Linked DNA regions of Oryzias latipes. The protein of the gene in region 1 interacts with the protein of each later gene in a pairwise test. Links are inferred from orthologs where the notes say so. Each region holds a gene or a part of one and is shown on either strand. Other genes may lie near its edges.

Region 1 (3,752 bases):
AAAAAAAAGCATATCAAGGTTCTGGAGTAGTCTATCCAGCCTCTGGATCTCAATCCAAAATAGAGAATCTGTGGAGGGAATTTAAACAGCAACAGCCCCAAAACATCACAGCTCTTGAGAAGATCTGTAAGGAAGAACGGACCAAAATAGCCGCTACAGTGCAAGCCTGTTGAATATTTCCAGGAAATACTTTGTCATTGAGGGTTTACAAATACTGAGGGGACATTTCTTTTCGACCAAATACTTGTTTTATAGATTTTATCTTCACCCTGTATAGACCCAAGCACGTTTTTTTTCTCCTTATAATTGCGTGGAGTCATGTTTTTTTCCTTTTTTTTTTTACATAGATGTTTTAGTCTGTTATTTGTAAGTATCTTTTTCTTCTTTTTATTGTATTTTTTTCTTTTTTAGTTTTTCTGAGCCACACAGGCACTACGTTTTCTGTTTGGTCCTTGTTTTCCCTTTTCTCTAAATACACAGCCTACAATTGTGGATTAAACTAACTGACCAAAGCTGGGTGTTGCTCATTCTTTTGTGCTTTCAGGACTTTCACATTACTAAAGTAAATACTATTATGAGTAGTCATTGTTATACCCTAAATTGATAATATAAGTTAATTGCAGTTTGTTGTACATTGTTCATTTTACATCATGTTTTACCTCTGCAGGTTTTAATGAAAGTATTAATGCTATTCAGGACTCGTGTACAAATCTGTTGTAAAATTACTTATGAAGAACAGTAGCATTAATCTTTAATGTGAAAAAAAGGTTGAAGGAAACTTTCACAAAACTTATCACGGGCATTTTAATAATATATTAACAAAACGAGATATAAAAAAATCACAAACACGAACACACACGACAAAACTCCTGAGCATGCCTTGAACGCATCATTGTGTAGCGTGGCGAGGGCGGAGCGTATGACGTCGAGCTGAAGCTCGAGCTGTTTATTGTTCCTTCCTGAGCACCGACAGAGAAAAACAAGCTGTCAGCTACTCATTTGATACGGTTCACGGCCCGTTTTACTAAGGTGTAACGGTTAAGAAAGCTGACTGTACAAAGCAGGTGCTATGGCGTACGCGTACCTCTTCAAATACATCATCATCGGAGACACAGGTAAGTAGCATCAAGTGCCAGCTAGACTCAGCGGTAGGCTATCTTTCAGTTAGCGGCTATTTCCGCAGTGTTGGATAGTCCAATGACGTGGTAAAAGCAGAGACGCAAGGGGTGGGATGACAGCTCCGATTTTCTCCCCCGTTTAATACATCCGAACCAAAACCAAAAAGAGAAATAAGAAAAATAAAAACGGTCGTTCCGTAACTAGCTCCCCCCCTCACCCCGGTGCCGTAGTAGCTGTTGACACCGGCAGACGTTGGGCCTTTTGTCTGCTTGCGTCGAGGGTGGGGGTGTTAGCCGCTAACTAGCATGCTAACTGGCTACACCTCTAGAAAAGATTACAAACAGCTGTCACGACAGCAAGTTAGCCTGTTTTTTCGTGTCAGTATACATAAAAATAAGTCGTAGCATTCAATTATTTTTGTTTCTGAAACATTATCTTTACTAGTTTTGGAATAATTTAAACTTAATATTAGACAGGGCCATGATAGCGTGAAGCTAAAGCTCGTAATAATTTTTCAAATGGCGTAGACAGAGCTTGTTGACTCTTAGTTTGACCACATCTATTTTCGCGGTTCACATGTCCCCACTATACTCGATTTCTGCTTTCTATTGGTAAACGTATTTATGGTTTGGTTACACAAATGTCTTCGAGTGTTATCCGCTTATTTTTTTGACAGATTGTATTGATGATGATGGGCCTGTTCAAATACACGAGCAGCAGGTGCATATGAAGAAGAACTGCTGTGACAAGAAAATCTAGAATCTTTAGTTTGACATAAGCAGATTCTCAGGAATGTGATGGGGACGTCTGATCTTTAATGGCTCAATCGGATAGAAATACCACGTTGGCTGAATGAAAATTAGACAGCAATTGAAGGTAAACACACCGAAAAATAAAACTTTAAAATCATAAACTAGCTCCAAACATTGTAGAAAAGATCCTTTCTTCTCTCTTCTGGACTACATGGTTCTTGCAGAAGAGGTTCATGTTTTTATTTGTTAATTTAAGAGGTTCATGTTTAGCTCGTTATCATTTATTCCTAGTTATCAAAGCTGTTTACAGCTCTGGCTAATATACCAGCTCAATTCGGAGGGTATTTTCAGAAAAACAGACCACACAGCTCACATCAGCGGGGCTAAGAGTCATCAAAATCTTGAAATGATAACCACAATATGTGAGTGTAAATTCTCCAGAACTCTCAGTTCTAGATTTCATAATGAAGATCCAGCGTAGAAAACTTGAACTGCAACTTTGTATATCCATTTTGGTTTAAACAGGTAATTTAAGGTTAATGGTTACCTTCTGGTGAAGGATTTTTACTTTACTGGGTCTTTAAAATTGTATAATTATTGCTTGGAGGAACATAAAACTGCAGTTCCAACTGCAGATTGTAATAATGAATCAAATCATGTGGTTTTAATAAAAATAACAGTAATTGCGTCATCAACAAAGGGGTTACTAGCTTGAAAAAAATTCCTTTTGCTCAGGTCATCAGCAGTAATTGGGTAAAACATTCTCTGTCTGAATTCACTCACTTCTCCCTCTTAAAAGACTATCCAGTGTCATTGATTTCACTTTTCACTTCAGTTTGGACCCATGATCACTACTTTTTGTAGTTTTTTTGTTGTTTTTTTAACTTAAAATATGATCTCACCCGTTTGTCAAAGTAAAAACCTTAAAAAATGTACATTCTACAAAGACTATTTATGAATCTATTGTGTTCTGATCATAAAAACTTAATGATTTATTTAAAAACAATGCATTCATTCAAATGACAAATTGTTCAAATGCAATGTATTGTTACCTGTTTTCGCCTATCCAGTGACCATCATGCACACTAGTTTTTTTGCAGAGGTTTCTTGGAAATTTCCAAGCCACTGGATTTTGGAATCATAGATTCATAGTGAGTAGTGTGTGAATTCTGACACTTTTTACTTTATTATAGATGGTAAAGTGACGAAAATATTGACGTTAATATACAGTGAAAAAAAATCATCACAATTGAAAATTTGAAATGTATCAGCATTGACAGAAGGAACATCGTCTTGGTAGTTTGGGGTAAAGTATTTTGATTTTACACATTCCTTTTTTAATGATAATTATAAATTGTTATTGGTATCACTTCTTTCTGTGCTGACAGGTAAAGAGACTATTTTTGACATAAATATTAAAGCCATGCTTTTCACTGGGCCACTTGTAATCACCTTTAATGTATCTTGTAAATCACAAACTAATTTCTCTGTGCGGATGCTAATTTGGTTATATGTAATGTGCTGTCCTGCATGCAGACATCCTGAGAAAGAAATCGTTTTCTTTGTACTCCTCGGCTGTATAAACTACACACTGAAGCATATCTTATGGAAATTTATCTGTTTTATGTTCATTTTTGACATCATAAATGAACTTTAAATCATTGGTGTTACAGGTAAATATCAAGGGATAGTGTTTAGGCTCTTGTTAATTTTTCATATCAGAAGTTTGATAAAAATTGTATTTCATTTTTATCCCCACTGAGTCCGTTTTCATTTAATTCCTTAAGAACAGAATTAACCTCATCTTTCATAAGAAAACTATAATTCTGGATAGATATGTTTATGAAATGGGTGTATATTTTAGCTTATATCATAGCTATA
Region 2 (3,735 bases), on another chromosome or scaffold:
CAAACGGGCCATCCCTACTGTAACTTATAAAACTTAAATTAATTGATTCCATTGGTAACAATTAATTGAGTTAAATTTATTCAACCTAATTTTTTTACGTCTATCCAACTCAACAATTGTTTATACAACTTTAAATATTTATCTAACTAAATGTTATATTACTCCAATTCAGTTAAATGTTTTTCCATCTTAATCATTCTACTTCTTGAACTCTCATATGTCTGAGTTTGAGCCTGCAGATATTGTCCATAATTCTGCAGCAAGGTTTTTAACCAGTACCAGTAAACCGACTCACATAACTACTCTCTTGTCTGCTTTACAGTGGCTGCCTATCAAGTGTCAAATTGATTTTAAAAAGTTACTTGGAGTTTTCAGAGGGTTGTGTGGAAAGCCACATCATACAACTCTGACCTTTTAACCTCCTATTATTATTATTATTAATCTTATTATTATTCATTTTGAATGAATGAATGAATGTTATTATAATTATTGTAATTGTTGTTCTTATTGACTCTGTGTTTAGGTTTGATTTTATGCTGTCTTTTTCGGAAGCCCTTTGTAATTCTTTCTTGGAAAAGTGCTATAGAAATAAAGATATTCTATTCTGTTGTATTCTATTCTATTCTAAATAAATGAAAAACTGTGCCCCCCCTCCCTGATTTGCAAAAATGCAATGTGTTCTTTGTTCATTTTAAATCTTCTTAGTATCTCTAACTGTTTAAATTTGATGTAAAATGTTAAATGACGCCTCCTTTTTTTATTATGGCCATGAAACAAACCCTGAGCGGTCCTTGTTTTTCATTGTGATGCAGGACAGATTGCAGCCTGAAGGGGGCAGTAGAGCGCCGCCGTGCTGCGTTGGCAGTCAGCTCCGGAGAAGAAGAACCCCCGAACTCGGGAACTCGGTTGGTGTCAGCATCGTTATGTTGTGATTGTGGTTTCGATGCGGGAGGAAATCCTAACTCCGAGGATCCGTCCTGTTCGCAAACGGAGCCCCTAAGATGGCAGGCGAGGAGGAGAGGGGGGTGGTTCGAGTCAAAGTCAGGGTAAGCTGCGCGCGCGGCCGGCGCGGGGGACAAACAAAGACCCGCTGCTCCTTTTGTTCATTTTCAGGCTGTTTGTCCCGAAAGCTGCTGGTCGCTGATGATCGATCGGCTGCTCGCGTTGATCGACTCATGCAGTCCTCTTGTTGATCAACCAGCTGTACCTCACAGGAGCGCGCTGACGTCACCCTGGAAAGGCAGGCGCGCTCGTGTTGTTGACGCGGGTGCGGGCTTTAGGCTGGTGGTCAGTCTGTCAGCTTCTCAGGTGTACAGAGTTCCAGCAGGAGCATCGTTTTTATAAACTGATCACGAAATGAATGAATGTTGATACTGTCCATAAAATCCAAGTCTCCTCTAGAGCGGTTGTTGTGCTGAAAGGCATTCTGGGAGTTTTCATTGAAGCTAGAACAAGGGTTTGCCTTTCTTTAACCAATGATATCAACATTTGTTTAAATCCTCCAACGGAAATGTTTTTTTCTGTGTGTTCATGTGGTATTTTCTCATGATGGAAGACATGTATAAAAACATTTAACATTAAATATGCGTTTCTTTATTCTAATCGCTGTCAATCAGGAGCAGAGTGGACCACGAGCTCCCTGCTCTGCTCTATTCTGATCATCCACCGTCAGACAAATAGATCCATATTCGTCTTTGTTTTCCTCTGAGCTGGAATCTGGATCTGAACTGTTCGGATGGATGGATCTGATATTGCTCACCGTTTTCGATGCACCACTTATGTTAGGTTGTTGGTTCGTTTGTGGGAGTTTTGACTGCTGGAACAACAAAAGAGGCAGAGATGGATTTCATTTACTCTGAACCTCCTTTTCCTGCATAGATGAATGCAGGTTGATACTAAGTAAAATGCCTCGGTCAAAAAAAAGAAAGATTCAAACTGCAGATTTAAATGAGACAGAGTGATGAAGTGAGGTTTGATTCTTTCAGAAGTGTGACGGGGCTCTTCCTGTGGAGTTTCGCTCGTTTGCTGTGGATCCTCAGATCACATCTCTGGAGGTCCTGCAGCACATCCTGATCCGGGCCTTCGACCTGAACGGGTTAGAACTGTCCACCTCTCTTCCTGTCAGAGCTTCCCTTAGCGAATGACGATACACTGATGGGCATTTTTCCTTTTTTCCGTGTCTGAAACCAGGAGGCGGAACTTTAACATCAGTTACCTGTGTCGGGATCGCAGCAGTGCTGAAATGTACCTGTCCTTGCTGTCTGACTGGGATCTGGATGTTGCCTTTCTCAGTGCCGCCAAACCGTTTCTGGAGCTCAAGATGGATGTGAAGCCCTCAGAGGACAGTAAGAACAGCGTCCCTTCTTTAATGCAAACAGCTGGCAGTAGAAGCTCCTCCAGCTGTGAGGCAGAGTGGACGTGTGACACGTGCAGAAACCGTTCATGAACATTGTTTTTCATGTCATTGCAGGTCCTGTGATGGAGGACTGGGACATCATAAGCCCCAAAGACGTGATCGGCTCTGAACAGCTTCTAGCAGAGAAAACGAGATCTCTGGCTTCTGCAGCTCTTCCCTTCACACAGTCTCTGCTCTCCCAGGTCCCCCCCCCCCGCCTTTCTTTATTCACAGCGGTTCACAAACGCGTGGACGGGGTGGGAGTGCAATGCCTCACAAAAATCACACTTCAGTTCATGATTTTAGTCACTCTTCAACTTTCAAAATCAGTAAAAAGAGAAAAAAACAGGACAAAATAACAAGGTGAAAGCGTAAATATACACCTATAATATATATATAAAAAACATTTACTCATGTCTTTGAAGTCGATATTCCTTCGTATAAAAAATGTCCACATATACAAAACAAAGTGCCGTATGGCTGCATATTGTGGGGGAAAAAATATATTTATAAAAGTAAGACAAATAAAGAATGCCAGAATTAGACAAATTCTTTCACTACTGCTGTAACCCCCCACCCCACTCACTGGAAACAGACGCAGCAGCCGGGGGGGGGGGGGGGGGGGGGGGGGGCAGCTCATACAATTCTGTTTTTACTGCCAGGATGTTGGTCAGGTTCAGGAGCTGCCTGTGTTTGATTTTTCATTTTCTACAAGTAACTTTAGGACTGGAAACCGAGCAAATGCAGCCTTTCTGTGTTTTCTTCTTGCTATTTAGCAGCCAGCAAATCTTTCAACTCAAAGCGCCGTGATGCTGTTTAACCTGCTTTCAGGTGGGACGCACCCTGTCCAAGGTCCAGCAGGCCTTCGCTTGGTCCTACGGGGAAGAGATCAAGCCTTTCAAGCCCCCCTTAAGTGACTCAGAGTTTCACAGTTACCTGAACGGACAGGGCCAGCTGACCCGGCCAGAGGAGCTCCGGCTGCGGATCTACCACGGGGGTGTGGAGCCCTCTCTGCGCAAGGTTTTCCTTCTGAGCTTTACCTGTCAGCTTTAACTCCTGAACAGAAATGAAGCTTTTTGCCAAGCAGGCGGATGCATCTTGCAGTTATTTCTAAAGCTCTGCCCTCTGTGTGTGGCGTTCTGGTTTAGTGAGAAGCCCCTCTCAGTATTTATGGACAGCTGAACCTCCTCGTAGCTCCGGACCAAACTTCCAGGAAGAAAACCCTGATGCATGTGTCTCTGAGAACACAGCAGCTCCGGTTTCCATCATTGAAGTAATGGCGTCTGTTTGCTGACAGGTGGTTTGGCGGTACCTTCTGAACGTTTACCCCGATGGGCTGA

What was found.
Region 2: the proteins of rab2a (region 1) and tbc1d25 interact in binary tests that used the Homo sapiens proteins (3 or more experiments, as listed by UniProt). The link is inferred for Oryzias latipes from reciprocal best matches to the Homo sapiens genes RAB2A and TBC1D25.

Annotation. Positions count from the first base shown.
Region 1 is NC_019875.2:20,930,680-20,934,431, forward strand, and holds the start of rab2a (ras-related protein Rab-2A), read left to right. Parts: upstream 1-896; 5' UTR 897-1,069; coding exon 1,070-1,115; intron 1,116-3,752.
Region 2 is NC_019865.2:31,334,710-31,338,444, reverse strand, and holds the start of tbc1d25 (TBC1 domain family member 25), read left to right. Parts: upstream 1-849; 5' UTR 850-1,001; coding exon 1,002-1,046; intron 1,047-1,985; coding exon 1,986-2,095; intron 2,096-2,190; coding exon 2,191-2,345; intron 2,346-2,470; coding exon 2,471-2,598; intron 2,599-3,226; coding exon 3,227-3,415; intron 3,416-3,692; coding exon 3,693-3,735. UniProt on the Homo sapiens protein: Acts as a GTPase-activating protein specific for RAB33B. Involved in the regulation of autophagosome maturation, the process in which autophagosomes fuse with endosomes and lysosomes.